Arabidopsis thaliana: one gene and its partner. The protein of the gene in region 1 binds, or shares a complex with, the protein of each later gene. Each region holds a gene or a part of one and is shown on either strand. Other genes may lie near its edges. A codon is read from its position in the direction of its gene.

Region 1 (8,989 bases):
AATATCCGCATGCTCTTCTACCTCAGGTTGGTGACTTTGGTTTGTCAAAAATCAAGAGAAATACGTTGGTATCTGGTGGTGTACGTGGAACCTTACCGTGGATGGCACCAGAGCTTCTAAACGGGAGCAGTAGCAAAGTTTCTGAAAAGGTAAACATTAATATGATAAGATGCACAGTAAATATCAATTACCACTTTAACTGCTAGAATGATGAATCCTCTGCAACAGTCACCTATCTTCCCGTTTATGAAAAGCTGAGATGAATAGTGTTTAGTTTCTTGAGATGAGAATCTTATGTTATCACAAACTGACTGAGAATGCAACTAAACTAGAAGATCTGTTATATTCTTGTTTTTTTGCCTGCAGGTTGATGTTTTCTCTTTCGGTATCGTTCTGTGGGAGATTCTAACCGGAGAGGAACCATATGCCAATATGCACTATGGGGCAATAATAGGTGCGTGCAAGTAACTCATGGTCTATCGAGTTTCTGCCTGTTCATTCTTGTTCTGAATGCCGTGGGTATGAAATTTAAGATGATGATGACTTCATTGTGAAAGTGCAGGTGGGATAGTGAACAACACACTGAGACCAACCATACCAGGCTTCTGTGACGATGAATGGAGAACACTAATGGAGGAATGTTGGGCACCAAACCCAATGGCAAGACCATCTTTCACAGAGATAGCTGGTCGCTTACGAGTAATGTCATCAGCAGCAACTTCAACTCAATCCAAGCCATCAGCTCACAGGGCTTCCAAATGAAAAACCTTTCTTTTTCTTATGTGCAGTGAAAAGAGAACATAAGTCGATTACAAAGAGTCCAATTCTTTTATACTTTTTCGATTTGGGGTTTGGAGAGAGATATTTCTTGATCCTTCTCCTTTCCTTTTTTTGTTCTTTAACAAAAACAAACAAAAAAAAGTTGAAAAGTTTATTCCAGTTGGTTGAAATTGTTTTGTCACATGTATCTGTTGAATACACATGCATCCCTTTTATAGCTATGCACTGTGTTTGCAAAGATGAAGAATTCTTGACCAGGCAAATAACAGGAAAGGTTTTCTTATGTGAGCATATCATATGGTTTCTCTGAAAATGTTCAACTGCAGATATATATCATCAAATACAGACAGACACAGTACAAAATCCGGCTGGGCCAGGAACATAACTGCGGATATTCTATACCTAAACCAATGATGGGGGGCAAAAGCTCTTTTAAGATGATTTTTTTAGATTGATCAAACCTTTTTGGTTTTCACTATTGAAGAAGTTGGGAACAATCCTGTGGTGTGACAGGATAAGAGTAAAGCTTCTAGCTTCTGTGGAGTGGCGCAGCACGTAAATCAACTGGCTGATAGCTCACTCGATCCTTGTGAGGTAAAAGCTCCTCCTGAAAAGAAAGAACAACTAGTGTCACACACTTAAAATGGGAACTAGAGCTGAGGATTGAGGATCAACAAGAAGATAATATATAGACTACATCATCAGGGTTTATCTGGAATGGCTTCACAAAATCCTCAAACATTAACGGAGAAAGATCCTTCATTTTCTCTTCCACTTCCTACAAAATGAAAGCAATATTTCTTCAGACTGAGAGTATCTAAGCACATAAAAGGTCATAATGAATTGTCATTGAAGTTTCAGAAAGTGTACCAATCCAGTAATCCTTGATTTTTCTAATAACTCTCTGGTGATTAAGTCCAGAATGTGCCTGTTTGCTCTCAGAGCATTCATCGCAAGTTCTTCAGTCTCCTCGATATACTGTCACCAACATTCAAATACCATCTATATGTTCAAGCTCCACATGGGAGAGTTTAAATCAGATTAGGTGTGCTGAGTCGAAGATAAATTACCCTTGTCAACTCACGGGTGAATAGCTCGGATACTTCTACCGACATCTCTGCTGGCATTACATGAGGATGGTCCCACTGATATAACATCACCAAGTTGAAAAGAACGTGAGGAACTACTGAGAATATGTAAGATCAGCAAAAATGGGATAGTATCAGTCTCTGATTAATGGATATACCCGGTATTTTATCAGCTCGCCGTCTGGGTTATCTGGTAAATCCACCATTCCAATCTTTTTTACAAGTTGAGTGAGACCTAATCTCGCACTTTGAGGGCTAATCACCATCTCCCTGGCAATCTGAAAATGTAATGTCAGGTCAAATTTAGAATGGAAGACTAAACATTAATATTACTCAAAACACAAGCACTTTGCAGATATGCAGTTACATAGATGTTATTTTAGCTACCGAGTTGAAGGTTTAATCAGAAGCTGAAAAGCAAGGCACAGTAATTAGTTAAACGAGAAAGGGAGAGTACTTACTTTTGTTATCTTCTCCAGGTCATCTTTTCCTCCATCAGTGACATTATCGCCAAAAACCACACGTTCAGCACAGCGTCCACCATGAGCTACCACCATTTGCATTTTCATATAACCAAACGTGGTATACCCTTGGTCTACCATGTCTTCACGTGGATAGAAAACCGATACAGCAGTTTCCTGTAAGATTCAAGAGAAAAGTTTATTTAATCCATTCTTACACTGTGTTGACTGTTGAGTGTTCAAACACCACTATCATTACAACTGAAAAATATATATTTGAAACAGACCTTGCCACCAGGAAGGAGCTGCGAAAATGCATGCCAGTCAAATCGAGGAAACAAATGAGCCAACACTATATGACCAGCCTCATGAACAGCCAGAAGTCTCTTCTTTTCGTAAGATACCTAATATTACATAAGCTTTAACGGTTAGGGCTTTTTTAGCTGTGGAGCATAGTATGTTTTGAGATAAATAGTACAAAGGATGTCAGTACGAACACTTTGTTCACATTTCTGTTGCTCTTCCTCTGTAAGAAGTACACCCATACCCTCGAGCAATTGTTTATCTAACACATCAACAATGTCTTGTTGATATATGTAAGAACGTCCCTTCCTTACCTGTAAAATTGGATTACGATCAACAACGCTCCTCTAGAAATGGTATAACTAAATTGGGAAATTGAGATCCACATAAGAATATGACATACCGACATTATAGCCGCTTCGTTAACAAGATTCCGGATATCTGCCCCGGAAAAGCCAACCGTTCGAAAAACAAGCTGGATGTGAAAAAGGATATAGTTGTTATGAATGAGCAAACACCTATATCAAACATGTTATTGGGATTGAAAAATAGCAGGAAAACAACTTGCCTTCCCAAAGTCTATATCTTCTGCAAGGTTCTTCCCAGCACTGTGAACTCCAAATATTTGCACCCTTTGCTTTGCATCAGGCAACCCAATATACAGCCGACGGTCAATACGGCCAGAACGGACAAACTCAAGGTCGAGTTCATCAGGTCTATTGGTAGCACAGATAAATATCACAGCTTGTCTCAAAGAAAACCTATCGATACCTGTCTTCTCTTTCCTGCAGGTGGTACAATATTAAGTATGAAAGCCTTGATACAAACCCGATGAAAACATGTACATATCACTAAGATTTATAAACAAGTGCAGATTCTCTTACTCCCCATCGAGTTGCGCAATTAAAGCTTCAAAAGTTGCTCTTCTCCGTGGATCTTTTCTAGCATGTCTACCAGCAATAGCATCTATTTCATCCACAAACACAAAAGCAGGGGCCTGGAGATAGTATATAAAATTAGATCCACAATAATAGTGTGAGTAGAAGACAACTATACCGTATGAGCTTTAAAACACATAACTAAGAACCTTACATTTCGTCTCGCGATTGAAAACATCTCATTGATCTTTGCAGCACCACTTTTTTCACTGTCTGTGAACTCCGCACCAGATGCAAACACAAATGGTAGCCCACTTTCCTTTGCAAGTGTTCGCGCAAAAAGTGTTTTTCCAGTTCCAGGAGGTCCAGAAAGAAGCACACCCTGACTCAAAAATGAAAACAGAGGAGAGTTTGAGCTTAGCTTAGACAGTTAAATGGAATAAACCAATATCCACATGTTAGTTTTTGGGTCAAGATGTAATTTACCCTGACAAAAGCCACATCTTTTTCATAGTATTGCATTGGGTTCCCCATGTAGATCATTAGCTCATCAAGAAGATCCCAGACATCACCGCCTAGTACCACTTCCTTATACATTGATTTTGTCTCACTGACATCTCCAACCGGCTGTATGATAATTAAAACTCATCAATAGAAGTGTGAATATGTGGGAAGAAGGCAACTAAACAAAGAAGTAACGAGGTTAATGGTATACAGTAACGATGATTACCAATATAAAATTTTCTGCATAAGCCATATCAAACAGCTGATTATACTTCTTGTAGAGAAAGCGCTTGGATGTGATAAGGAGAAGCATGGCAGATTCTCTTATAAACCATAAAATTAGTATCCCCGGCAGAAGTGCAATGAAAACTTTCATGAAGTAGTGGATCTGCCTCTTCTGAAGAAGATCCACCTCAACTCCGGCGTTGCAAATAGTCTCAAACAAGTAAGGATCTAAGGGAATGTCAACCTAGAAATAAAAAGGATATGACATGGTGAATGTACATCATTCATTTCCAAATACTTGCAACTATAATTTTTTTACTTACAATATATTCTAGAGGGAAACCTTCTTTCATGGTCACATACAATCTCTTTAGGTCTTCCGTGAAAACAACAGCTGCAACCTGTTATGAACACATACACAGATTATCGTGCCAACATAAGCTAAAAAAAAGATCTATCATCCTATCACGTCCAGCTTCAAATTAATTGCTTTGGAAAAGGAATATATTCATCATATTTTAACTCATAATGAATATACCATCACTTGTTATCATTTAAAAAATTCAACTGGATATAATGACACTTGCCACTCACAATCCCAAAGCCGGACAAGAGTATAGGTTAGAGCTGTACCTCAGAAGAATCAAGCTTCTGAAGGAAGTAGGTATAGGGAAGCTTAGGGCGATATCGCCACCATCTCTTTGATATCCAGAGAGCTCTAGTTCCCTCAGTTTCAGATGTCCTTCCAATAACATCTTCGCGAAGACTTTTCTCTACCTCTTTCATATCAAATTCAACCACATACTTCGCCGCTGAGGAGTTTAACTGTTCTGATAATTTTTCTCGTTCTAACATTTCCTTCCAGGTTGCAAGCCTTTCCCGCCAATTACCTACACTGTCTCCAATTTCACCTATCATAGAAGAATGCAATAGAGGATTAGATGGTCAAAAGCACAGGTTACCAATGATAGTAGATGAGGGATCTAGAAGTGCTGCTCTGAAAGAAACTTGATTAGTGAGATAAGATTAGGTCGTCAAAAACAAAGGTTTCGCACAATAAATCACTTCTTGTTATATCTTCAGCATGCCACTACTAAACAAGTATCACCTAACGAATGTATACTGACCAGAGACACCCAGATCTTGGCTTAGTTTCTTCTTTGCCTCTGTCTGAATCCTAGCATTTCTACCAATTATTTTCTTGAGAGATCCCTCTGTGGTCTCTAGATCGTCATCCCACGCATTTTCTCCAACATAAGAACTATCGTGGACAAGTGTTCCATCAGGCGCTTCAATGAACCTTTTTAATTTCAAGCCTTTAGGTGTTGCTTTCCTCCACATATTTCTCTTGAACCTGAAACACTAGAATAAGTCAGGACATTCTACAAAATCAAATAAACAGAAGTTCTTTTAGTCTTCCCACTCTTGACGCTTTAGATGCCTCATTAGCTGAGTATTTACTTGTTAAAGGATGATACCATAGTTTGAATATGAACCATATTTTACCATGTCCCAGTAGAGAAAATTACAATCGGAAACTGAGGATTAGGAAGCACCTACTTTTCTATATTTCCAGGAGATGGCTCGGGGATCAAAGCCTCCATAAAAGACTCTGTTAACTCTCTTCTCTCTCGTTCTACCCGAGGAGCTTGGATGGCAACATAAACTCTTTGACAAGAAAGTAACAGCGCAAAAGCATATATGAACAAGGCAGCAACTCGTTTACCGTCCCAATTCCTGATGTCCTGATACAATACATCTTCCCTCATTAAGAAACAACCTAATACACTAGTATATGTCGCTAGAATAAGCGTAGTTGTAGTCTCCTCCAAAATTTATGCTTCCGTTAAATCAACAACAAAATAAATAAATACCATACGTTTGTCCCTCAATGTTTTAGAACACAAGCAGAAGTCTAACAATACTTGAGAATCAGAAATTTGATAATTACGTTAAAAAGCTGAACCAGCTTACCTTCCAATGCTCCCACTTGTTCCAATCAATAAACGAAGGCACTGTCTCATTCTTAAAGCGAGTCAGCTCGTGATGGCCCTTGTGCACACTATCCTTAACTCGAGCCACATACTCATTCACTCTCCCACTTGCTTCTTCCGAGTCAAACCCAATTTCTGTCTTCACAGATTCTCCAATCTTCTCCCCAATCCGCTCGGCACCAAGGCGAATAGACTGAGCCAATCTCACCCACGAAAAGCCTCCATCGCTATTAGATGAAGACCCACTACTACTTTCAGACGCATAGACTCGAAAGAGCTGTTTTTTCCGGGTAGCTCCCAGTCCATACTTGGCGGGAAACCGAACAAGACCAAAACTTTTTGATCTTTTCAACAACTGAGTCGATGAAGAGATAAGCGGATTCGGTTTATACGAAATTGCAATCTCCATGAATGAAATCACAAGAAAAAAATTAAAAAGAGAACAAAACCAGACGCATTTGAAGATTTTTCCCGATTAAAGAGCTCTCTCTGAGAAAATTACTGAAGGAAAATGGTGAGTACCAACCATTCAGCTCACTCGACTCTCCGGCAAGACTTACGCTTCTCTCCGGTAAGGAGGTTTATCTACACTGATCCGTCGTTGAGAGTGTCCTAATACTTCGAAGGAGAAAGATGACGCTTAAACTCAAAGAGGCTCGAAGCCTATTAGTTATATAATTGGGCTAGCCCATTAAGGTCCATCAGCCCACTATCCGAAAAATAATATATTTAAACCGTGGAATCCAAGGAGAGACACAGTGGCAAAAAGGGTAATTATAGGGACATTTCTTGGGGTGTTGTCCAAGCTGCTTTTATATAAGGAAGGGATATTGTTCTCTCGCTTCTCGAAAGATCCATTCACCAACTCTTTATACCAGCCTCTGTAACGTTCGATCATCTTGTATTTCATTTCAACCACTCATGTAAGTATATTCTTTCTTCAGATTCCGATTGTTTTCTTCGATTAAGTTTTGAGCTAGATTCTCTAGATCTGTTTCACCGATTTGGTTGATTTCTCCGTCAATCTGAACTCGCGGTGTGCATCTTGTTGTTTGCAGTGTTTTTAGTTTGTTTTACGAAGAATCAACTATGGCGACGAAGAGAAGCGTTGGAACTTTGAAGGAAGCGGATCTGAAGGGAAAGAGTGTGTTCGTGAGGGTTGATCTCAACGTTCCTTTGGATGATAACTCTAACATCACCGATGACACCAGGATTCGTGCCGCTGTTCCCACCATCAAGTACTTGATGGGTAATGGATCTAGGGTTGTTCTCTGCAGTCACTTGGTATGATATCTTATCTCAGTTCTCACTTCACTACTTGCTTATCTGTTGTAATTTTGGTGTGGGAATTTTGATCTGATCTGTTTATCCGGAGAGCCATGCGTATAAGAAGAGTCTCTTTGCATGTTAGGATGTAGATATAGTATTCTTGTTTTTCAATATGTTCATTGACTCTATCGGTTGATTTTCTGGTGTTGTTTGGGTAATTGTTTTAGTAAGTTTACTTGGATATGTTTATACTCAAGTTCAATTGGATGATGCTGTTGAATTAATGGATGTATCTGATCTCAATTTATGTTTCAGGGCCGCCCAAAAGGTGTTACTCCTAAGTACAGCTTAAAGCCTCTTGTGCCCAGATTGTCTGAACTTCTTGGTGTTGAGGTTTGTTCCTCTTCCTCTTCTAGACTTGCAAGGTTTCTGAACATTAGCTTTTAAAAGAACACTGTTCTCACTCTGTTTGTGTTAATAGGTTGTAATGGCAAATGACTCTATTGGTGAGGAAGTCCAGAAGTTGGTTGCAGGACTACCTGAAGGTGGTGTTTTGCTCTTGGAGAATGTGAGGTTCTACGCCGAGGAAGAGAAGAATGATCCTGAATTTGCAAAGAAGCTTGCTGCTCTTGCCGATGTTTACGTTAATGATGCCTTCGGAACTGCTCACAGAGCTCATGCTTCCACTGAGGGAGTTGCCAAATTCTTGAAGCCTTCAGTTGCTGGTTTCCTCATGCAGAAGGTATTTAAAATTTGCAGCATAAAGAGTATCTTCTTAGATGAGTCTCTTTATTTTACTGATCAGACTATTACTTGTTTTATTGTGTCAGGAACTTGATTACCTTGTCGGAGCTGTGGCAAACCCCAAGAAGCCTTTTGCTGCCATTGTTGGAGGCTCAAAGGTTTCAACAAAGATTGGTGTCATTGAGTCTCTCTTGAACACAGTTGACATCCTCCTGCTCGGTGGAGGTATGATTTTTACTTTCTACAAGGCACAAGGACTCTCAGTCGGATCTTCCCTTGTGGAGGAGGACAAGCTTGACTTGGCAAAGTCACTCATGGAGAAAGCAAAGGCCAAAGGTGTCTCTCTCTTGCTCCCAACCGATGTGGTTATTGCTGACAAGTTTGCTCCCGATGCTAACAGCAAGGTAACTATCACAGTCATTGTGGTTGACTCTCAATGGGCCATGTATGAAAGTAAAACATTTAAGCGTCTGGTCTGGTCTCTTTAAAGCTGACACATATGACTCTTGCAGATAGTGCCAGCCACTGCCATCCCTGATGGCTGGATGGGTCTAGATATTGGTCCAGACTCCATCAAGACATTCAGCGAAGCTCTGGACACAACCAAAACCATCATCTGGAATGGTCCCATGGGTGTGTTTGAATTCGATAAGTTTGCTGCTGGAACTGAGGTATGAGCAACTAAACACATATAAACACAAGTTTTAGTCTCACTTTTGTCTAAATCCATTTGTCTTCAACAT
Region 2 (7,832 bases), on another chromosome or scaffold:
GGGACAAAGATATCAATTAGGTTATTTACGTCTTAACTACGTTACAACAATGTCTCTATCATATAATTCCAAATGTGTCATGAAAACCTTTTTTTTTTTTTTTTGTTAAAGAGTTTCATGAAAACTTTATCCACATAAACGTTTTTGAAATGCATGTGTTTTTAGTTCACATATGCGCTCGGCTGCATAATTTTACGGAATCATAATATATGCTCAATTATTTTACTATTTTCATTTGTTTAAATTAAAAATCAAATGTATATACCATTTTTCGCGTTTAGTGTTTTAAGAAAGCTAGTCAATTATTTTGTTGTTCCACTATTTTTATGATGCATATCAATCATCTAATTGTCGTTTCTTACTTATCAGTTTACCATTGTATTGTGCGCAATTTTTTTAAATTTGCATGATTCGCCACTAGAATCTTAACTTTTCGGAGAGATTACTTTTTCATAAAGAAACAATTGGGTATAGTATTATAATTTCTTCAAGATTGTCTTTTACATTTATTTACAACAACAAAAATTGACCTAATCTTTGAATAATATACATAAGGTAGATGATGTTATTGTACAGGGCATGTGACTTTTTAGACATCCCTATTATTTATAGTTAGAGCAGGTGAGGCGAGGATCGATGAAGACATAACTACTGTCAATTATTGTAATTGTTCACATTTCTCAAACCCCAAAATATTCTTAATATAAAATAGAAGAGGCATGTCCCATAATCCCATTATATATGTAACCTTGTATATATTCATCATCATTATTTTATTTTGAAAAAAGATTTTGTTCATAATTATCAAAACTGGATAAGATATTCGGTTATGTGTATGTATCCGATCGTCATGAAAATAACATGTTAGCATTAAGGCTATGTAATTATGTGCAAACCTGCCACGAATAAAAAATAAGTTATACACTAAGTAATAAAGGAACTTCAATAACACCATTAGTGGCGTCACTCCAAGCGTTGGTTGCACAGTCTAATGTATGACATTAAGATGCTTTTTAATTTGGTTTCTTGCAGATATGTATAGATTGAATCTCAAATAAAAAATGTAGAAGCTGAAAAAAAGAAGAAGGAAAATATCACATGCAAAGATTATAGTATTGACGATATCGACCTGCGACTTTATTGTCGCCATTGGTTAGGTGTTCAAATTGCAAATGTATTTCAACATTTCTATGATTGTTAATATAGATAATGATATCCAAATTGGTCATGAAAAAAGCAATCTGATTTTGAAAAAAGTGAGATGAGATTGTATCTACTTTCTTTTTTTTGTTTTGGCCCATGCCCTACACAGCCAAGCAAATTTGCATCAATTAAATAAAAATAACAAAATATTTTATAAAAATGATCACATTTGACATTTTTCTCAGCAAATAAACTAGTGTGATTCCACTAACACTCTTTTCTACAGATCTCTATGTTTTACATGATACATAATAATCTCTAAAGTTTCACCTGGAGAGCTTTGTTCATTTGATGTTCTTGAGACCGCAAAACTGAACTGAAAAACAAAAAAAAAACAGTAACAAATCAGCAATTCATGTTAGCATTTCTGGACACTGCTGGCTGGTTATTGATGTTTAACAAAACCGTGAATCTGAGAAACTTACAAATGATTTTAAAAGAAATGGGTTGCCATCAAAATCTGAGGTTTCTTCTTTTCTTCTTCAATTTGAATAACAGCTTCTGCTTTGATTTCTTCAACCTTTTTATCCCAAATCTCATCCACTAGTTTCCATGTGTCATCGCTGATGATTTGTGTCTGCATCAAACATAGCACAAGAGTATTATATAAGAGAAGAAAAAAGTTTAATCTTGTTATGATCTATGAGTGGTTTGTTTCTACTACATACCTCCATGGGACGAGGAGCTCCAAATGTTGCAAAACCAATGTTTCCTGGTGAAAATGTTACTCTTCCAGGAAGCGATACACCGTGAATTCCCCATCTTCCCGCATAGATTAAAGCTCCATACTCATCGACAGGTCTCACGGGTTTCTGTTTTCATGAATCAAAGGATCTGGAAAAACCGGAAAAAAAATCAATACAGAGAGATAAGATTGAGAAAGATAACTAACTTGAGGAATCCTTGGAGCTGTGTTGTAAATGTTCCAGATTTCATCGGCTTTGATTTCTCCTTTCTCAAGAAGCACATCTGAAAATATTATTACACTCTTTAAGATTGTTGAGTGTATGGTGATATCTGCCATTGCAATGACGAAGCAGAGAGGATATGATATTATTCTAAACCTGTGATTTCTTCAAGGGCTGATTGATACTCTTGTAAGATTGATGAGCATTTCTCAACAGCAAACCTCATGTACTCATCGCGTAATGCCTCAAGTTTCGGAACAAGCTATACACGAAGGAGAATCGAAATTGGTGTTTCTGAGATTCTCAAGAGCTAAAAATAAAGAGGTAACAAGTACATATATAAAACTTACATTAGGAACGAGGTCTCTTTGGTTTCGGTAATAAGCTTTTCCAAAAGCAGTCATTCCCGTCTGAAGAATCAGAAATTCCGCTCGCTGTGAAGCTTCTAAAGTAGACTTAGCAGAGATCCAACACAGGTTTTCTATTCCAAACATCTCTTCTTCAACTACTCTAGCTATACGACACAAACAAGGGGATGAAGTAAGCGACAGAGATTTTTGTGATCTATAACGAAAAAGAGAAAGTGTTGACAAGTTTGGCTTTGCAACTTACGAGCACATGCACGGATTATTGAGTTCACATAATCTGACTTTCTCGCAAAAACTCTTCCTGAAGTTTCAGAGTAACGCATATTTGGTTGGCTTCTAATCGAGTTTATGTCAGTCTGCAGAGAGAAGCACATGATACAAAAAATGGTCTTAGTAATGCTATAATTCAAAATAACACATGAAGGAAACTGCACTCAAGTTTCTTAATAAACCTCGCTGATTGGACGATATTGATCTGGGAGATAACAAGCAAGAACAGCAACAGCTGCTTCTCGGTAAGCCAATCTCAACTTCAGTTCCTCTGGAACTTCAGTACTATCTTCTTGTCCAGTCTCAAATGTCCCTTTTTGCTGTAAGGAGTGGAATCAGAATTTGCTAAAGCAGCACCTAAGCATGGATAAACTGGATATCAAACACTAGTTACCCGCTTAAGCGCCTCAAGGAGTTCTTCTCTTCCAATGTAATCCAAATCTTTTCTAGCTGTCAAGATTCCAGCTTCATTTCTGTAAACAATTAACCAAAGATCAGTGTTTTCTGTTTTTTTCCCTCTGCATCTAAATACATAGTTGAAGCTGTAGCATTGTATATTACAGAACGTTTTGCAGTTCTGCTCCGGTAAAATCTTCCGTGTTCTCAGCTACTTCTTGCAGCAACTCCTCCTTCTCATCCTCAGATCGAAAGAATTTATTTCTAGCATGTACCTTTAGTTACAAACAGAACTTTTCGTTAAAGCACAAAGCCAACCAAAACTCGTCATATCCAGAAAAGTAAAATTAATTACCTTTAATATCGCCAATCTACCATCTTTTGACGGTAAACCAACTCTTATGATTTTGTCAAAACGACCTTTTCTCAATAGAGCAGGATCAAGGATATCTAATCTATTTGTTGCACCTATGACTAATACCTGACAAAATCCATGATTACTAGCAAGTATTGTTTATTGAAAAAAAACTATATAGCAAAGGGAAACATTACTTGTGATGTAGTAACTTTAAATCCATCCATCTCAGTCAATATTTGAAGCAAACCTTGTTCTCTCTCTGCTCCTCCCTATTCAGTGAGTAACACATTTCTAAAGAAAGTTAAATCTCTTATACTAAAATCTAATTTCCGGAACAAGAAAGCATTGCATTCTTACCCCGCCAATATCGGGTCCACCTCGCTTACTTCCAATTGCATCAATCTCATCAATGAAGATTATAGATGGCGCATATGACCGAGAGCTAGCAAAAAGATCTTTAACACGAGATGCAGCCACTCCTACAAACATCTGAGAGATTTAAACAAAAACAGGAAAACTCCATTAACTCAAGACCTTAAAAAACCAAGATATTTAGCACTGTTATTCATGTTGACACAATCAATCACTCACCTCAACAAAGTCGGTTCCATTTGCCGCGAAGAAAGGTAAACCAGCTTCTCCAGCAATAGCTTTGGCTAACAAAGTTTTCCCCGTTCCGGGAGGTCCATGAAGCAGAACACCTTTCGGACAATAAATGCCTTTATTCTGAAATTCCTCATCATTCTTTAAAATTCGCACAATTTCTTGTAATTCCCTCTTTATATACTCCTGACCCGCAAAATCATCAAAAGTAACACCAGTTTTCTCCTCTGCTGATATAAATTTTGCCCTTACAGAGAGAACCAAACATAAACTTAGATCCAACAAACTTGAGCAGAAGAGGTCAATATCAAAGGAAGTCGAGCATTTCTAAACATACCGACTCTTGCCTAGGGAACCGAGTGCTTGGCGCTTGAGGGGCTGCCTTATCTTTTTGGTAGGGGTTCCGAGATCACAAGGGATTAGTTTGGCATAGATTGGCCTCGTGATACTGTCGATCCAAACATAAAGCGAAACAAAGAGGGCAAGTCTCATAGACCAAACCACAAAAGTGGCAACTGTAGTATAGACTTCAGCTGGAACCACATCTACATTGAAAACCTCTACGTTTACTATCTGCTGATGCAACTTCTTCCATACATCATTCCAACCATCAATTGGCATTCGGTCCACAATGTGACGACGGAAAATTATCTCCTTTTTCGAATCTTCTTCTTCTCCTAGGGGCTCCCCATCTTTATAATAAGGCAATATCACTGCAACAACAACAAAACTTAGGCAAAAGATTTCAAGAACACCATGTCTAGATTTCAAGCAGTTAGATGCAATGTATCGAAACTTTTTGAAACTTCTCACCTGATATCGTCTGTCCGTAATTTGAATATTCCATGTATTGAACACTGTTGGAATCTAAGAGCTTCATAAAATCACTAAAATTGATACGGTGAGAGGTTTCAGGATCCCATTCTGTTCCTTTTAACTTGCCACGCATGGTTAACAATGTTCTACTCCAATCTGATGCCATAACAAGCTGCCTTTCTAATTGTACATTAGCCTTTCTCTCGAGCTCTTCCATGTTGCTAAGTCGTTCTCTTTCAGTTTCTCGTAACTTCTACAAAAACCAAAAGATAAAACGAATTAAAGCTTTGAAAACTCCATTAAACAAAATGAGGAATAAGTATATCAATTAAGCTACAACCAAAAAATGTTTCAAGTATTGAATGCAAACATAACCTCTTCAACAGAAACTACACAAGTATACGATCAAAGTCCGAAACTGAGTATCACTTATTAGCTTGCAAGTTCTTCACTTTGCATTCTAGAAACGAAAGCCCTAGAATTGGATAATTCTAGCTATAATTTGAAATAGAGATAAACCTCAAATAGACGATTGGACTCAGCATCTTCTTCCTGTGAAACTGAAGACTCAGTAGACTCAAAGCTCGATGTACTGCAACAAGTAATCAAACCATTTCTTCGTGAAGGAAAAAGATTGAATTTGGAGCTTAATTTAGCTTCCGTTGGTTTTCTTCGACGGACGAAACTAGACAGAGAACCTCGAAATTGACTGGGGAAGAGGGTATTAGAAGGGTTTAAGGGTTTCGAGAAATGGGTTGGAGTTAACGAGCTCGAGATATAAAACGTCATTGTTCAGTCATTAGATTAGAGCTGGGAAAAATTTCCCCTCGATTTCTAAGTGCAAAGAGAAACGATAGCAACAAACTTTCTAGAGGTGAAATTTGAAGCTGGTGGGTTCTTCACGAAGATTGAAAAAGACGATCGAAACGGTGCGTTTTTAACAGTTTCTCAAACGCGCCGTTTTAAGAGATTACCGGTTCTATTGTAACCGGACATCACCGGTTGACTTTCAAATGTGCTAATTATGAAGATACCGAACCGGTGAAGCTCTTTCTCAATCCATAAAGGAAACTCTTTCAATATGTATCATTATATATTCTGGTTCATTCTCTAGTCAACTAAGAGACATTTGCTCTGTATGTATGATATAGATGATGTGTACACAATTGTAAAAGACGTCGATAAGGTTGAACATGGATCATATGACAAAACCTCTTCCATGCTTTGGTTGTGGAATCGGATGGTTCCGTGTTAAAAGCAAAAGAAAAGGGGACTTTTTGTCTCGGTAATTTTGTTTTTTGCTTGGTCATGCATCAGTTTCACAACATGTTCTCTCTATTAATTAGGATGATTCCAAAAGAATCAAAAACTTATGACCTTTTTGCTAAACTTTCAAATTGGTTAATGGTTAAGAGGAAAGCATTGGTTACGACTTAGGAGTTTTAAACAAAACAGGGAAAGCAAAATAGATAGATGCAAAGTAATACTCAAAGATCCGAGTTATTATGCATACCAGATAGAAAAGACATAAAAACAACCAGAAACCTTTGAATAAAAGAGTCAAATGCGATCTTAGGCAGAGCCAGACCGAGTAGAAGAAGGCTACAAGGATCTTTGCACGCAGAGAAGTTGGAGACCCATAAAAAGCAACACAATCATTTCAAACTCGACCCGTTCAGCAGCTTAGCATTCAACGCTAGCTCAGCGTTCCGTGCAGCTGATAAGCTTGACCAAAGCCATTTTGTAGGTACAGCTTTAAGTAGCTGTTGTGATGCGTTTTGAGGCTGTGCTAAGAAAACAGTGAAATTTAGACATCTCATAAGGTGAGCAGCCAATTCGAACTCACTGTGACCCGAGAGGTCTCCCACGATGAGCATCAAGTTATCTATTTCAGGATTGCCAATTGCGCAGCAAAGAAAGTCTACAATAATCTTCTCAAGTCTGGCATCTTTATCCCCGAGTGGCCTGAGATGTCTCCCAGGATCAGCACAAATTTTGTTTGGGAAGGTGATCTGATTGCCCGGCAAAGAAATTCCACTAAAATCTTGCTCTGTCTGGTACGTCTGTCTCCTGAAACCATATTATCAACTCAGGATCAACAACAAGATACATACCTATATATATATGTAAAAGATAGAGAGAGTGTGTGTAATTGACCTAAAGGGGAGCACATCATCCCGATTCCAGCGTGTTTCGTGGCCAGAGAGTAATCACCAAAACCGGTGATTTCGCACCTTCCAAGATACTCACCATTATTCGCAAGGGCCATTCTCATGTTCCGCCAAACAGCCTCAGCAGTGAGACCATCAGGGACCGGGCAATCCTCGACATCCCAAAAGAAGACTGTACTATGCCCTCCTCCTAGGTTTTACCATATTACAAAACTGATTAGATCGACTAACTTGCTATGAAAGATCGATCACATCAAATTCCAAACTGCATCACAACAGATCTAACGCTTTCAAGGACAAGGAGATTACAATTTCCAGAGAAAACATATATATCTTACCGCTGAACTTAGGCATCGTTTTGGATCGGTCGAGAAAACTAGATGCTTGCTTGCTGAAGATTAAAGAGAGAACAAGGTTGGCGCTAATCTTCTTCTTTTTATGTTTCTCGGTAGCGGTGTCAAGTGGGCCACAAACCTACGGGCTTGGCCCAATAAATGGGTTGTTGATGTCTGCAAATCTTAGTAAAACGGTAATATTCCGAGTATGATGTCTAGGGAAGACAAATTTCAAATCCATGAACAGAATCTAATCCAAATAAATTTAGCCATCTTAAATCTTAATCATACTACGTATATTGTTCCTAATATATGTAAATCTCCAAAGACGTAAAAAAAGATAAGGAACTTACCGGGGTCAAAATATTGTAATATAAAACCGTATATTTCTCTAAATACTTAGT

Evidence for each region.
Region 2: the proteins of FTSH12 (region 1) and EMB3144 are in contact, whole or in part, in a cryo-EM structure (PDB 8XKU), measured with the Arabidopsis thaliana proteins. Residues at the interface, in NP_565212.1 of Arabidopsis thaliana: Leu255 (codon at 5,445), Ile258 (codon at 5,436), Ile259 (codon at 5,433), Asn262 (codon at 5,424), Arg264 (codon at 5,418), Ile265 (codon at 5,415), Gln266 (codon at 5,412), Lys270 (codon at 5,400), Leu273 (codon at 5,391), Leu277 (codon at 5,379), Val279 (codon at 5,373), Lys359 (codon at 4,917), Leu360 (codon at 4,914), Pro361 (codon at 4,911), Tyr362 (codon at 4,908), Thr363 (codon at 4,905), Tyr364 (codon at 4,902), Leu366 (codon at 4,896), Lys368 (codon at 4,890), Glu373 (codon at 4,875), Asp382 (codon at 4,616), Lys384 (codon at 4,610), Arg385 (codon at 4,607), Met390 (codon at 4,592), Glu392 (codon at 4,586), Tyr398 (codon at 4,568), Asp401 (codon at 4,480), Ile402 (codon at 4,477), Pro403 (codon at 4,474), Leu404 (codon at 4,471); in NP_201263.2 of Arabidopsis thaliana: Lys91 (codon at 5,175), Leu92 (codon at 5,172), Arg93 (codon at 5,169), Glu94 (codon at 5,166), Glu96 (codon at 5,160), Arg97 (codon at 5,157), Leu100 (codon at 5,148), Met103 (codon at 5,139), Glu104 (codon at 5,136), Val112 (codon at 5,112), Glu115 (codon at 5,103), Arg116 (codon at 5,100), Val119 (codon at 5,091), Met120 (codon at 5,088), Asp123 (codon at 5,079), Arg126 (codon at 5,070), Tyr167 (codon at 4,947), Tyr170 (codon at 4,938), Asn213 (codon at 4,709), Trp216 (codon at 4,700), Lys217 (codon at 4,697), His220 (codon at 4,688), Val224 (codon at 4,676), Asn225 (codon at 4,673), Val226 (codon at 4,670), Glu227 (codon at 4,667), Val228 (codon at 4,664), Asn230 (codon at 4,658), Val231 (codon at 4,655), Val234 (codon at 4,646).

Annotation. Positions count from the first base shown.
Region 1 is NC_003070.9:29,924,629-29,933,617, reverse strand, and holds FTSH12 (FTSH protease 12), read right to left. Parts: upstream 6,860-8,989; 5' UTR 6,643-6,859; coding exon 6,214-6,642; intron 5,985-6,213; coding exon 5,800-5,984; intron 5,594-5,799; coding exon 5,367-5,593; intron 5,171-5,366; exon of another isoform or gene 5,151-5,170; coding exon 4,873-5,150; intron 4,641-4,872; coding exon 4,563-4,640; intron 4,484-4,562; coding exon 4,241-4,483; intron 4,138-4,240; coding exon 3,997-4,137; intron 3,893-3,996; coding exon 3,725-3,892; intron 3,630-3,724; coding exon 3,517-3,629; intron 3,418-3,516; coding exon 3,201-3,417; intron 3,108-3,200; coding exon 3,036-3,107; intron 2,947-3,035; coding exon 2,827-2,946; intron 2,734-2,826; coding exon 2,617-2,733; intron 2,507-2,616; coding exon 2,330-2,506; intron 2,147-2,329; coding exon 2,027-2,146; intron 1,926-2,026; coding exon 1,851-1,925; intron 1,759-1,850; coding exon 1,651-1,758; coding exon of another isoform or gene 1,627-1,650; exon of another isoform or gene 1,592-1,626; intron 1,559-1,591; coding exon 1,478-1,558; and 5 more. Other genes in the region: AT1G79570 (kinase superfamily with octicosapeptide/Phox/Bem1p domain-containing protein), read left to right, coding at 27-149, 367-454, 563-762; PGK (phosphoglycerate kinase), read left to right, coding at 7,323-7,517, 7,818-7,895, 7,984-8,244, 8,333-8,650, 8,759-8,917. UniProt on the Arabidopsis thaliana protein: Probable ATP-dependent zinc metallopeptidase.
Region 2 is NC_003076.8:25,815,755-25,823,586, forward strand, and holds EMB3144 (AAA-type ATPase family protein), read right to left. Parts: upstream 5,814-7,832; 5' UTR 5,712-5,813; coding exon 5,442-5,711; intron 5,176-5,441; coding exon 4,920-5,175; intron 4,820-4,919; coding exon 4,444-4,819; intron 4,354-4,443; coding exon 4,095-4,353; intron 3,993-4,094; coding exon 3,861-3,992; intron 3,773-3,860; coding exon 3,698-3,772; intron 3,627-3,697; coding exon 3,501-3,626; intron 3,421-3,500; coding exon 3,311-3,420; intron 3,223-3,310; coding exon 3,144-3,222; intron 3,070-3,143; coding exon 2,932-3,069; intron 2,836-2,931; coding exon 2,724-2,835; intron 2,626-2,723; coding exon 2,462-2,625; intron 2,374-2,461; coding exon 2,268-2,373; intron 2,173-2,267; coding exon 2,096-2,172; intron 2,016-2,095; coding exon 1,872-2,015; intron 1,781-1,871; coding exon 1,637-1,780; 3' UTR 1,629-1,636; intron 1,520-1,628; 3' UTR 1,164-1,519; downstream 1-1,163. Other genes in the region: AT5G64590 (NYN domain protein), read right to left, coding at 6,578-6,711, 6,769-6,992, 7,037-7,283, 7,432-7,447. UniProt on the Arabidopsis thaliana protein: Functions in chloroplast biogenesis and chloroplast division. Required for plastid development during embryogenesis. Might be involved in chaperone functions or play a structural role in the thylakoid FtsH complex.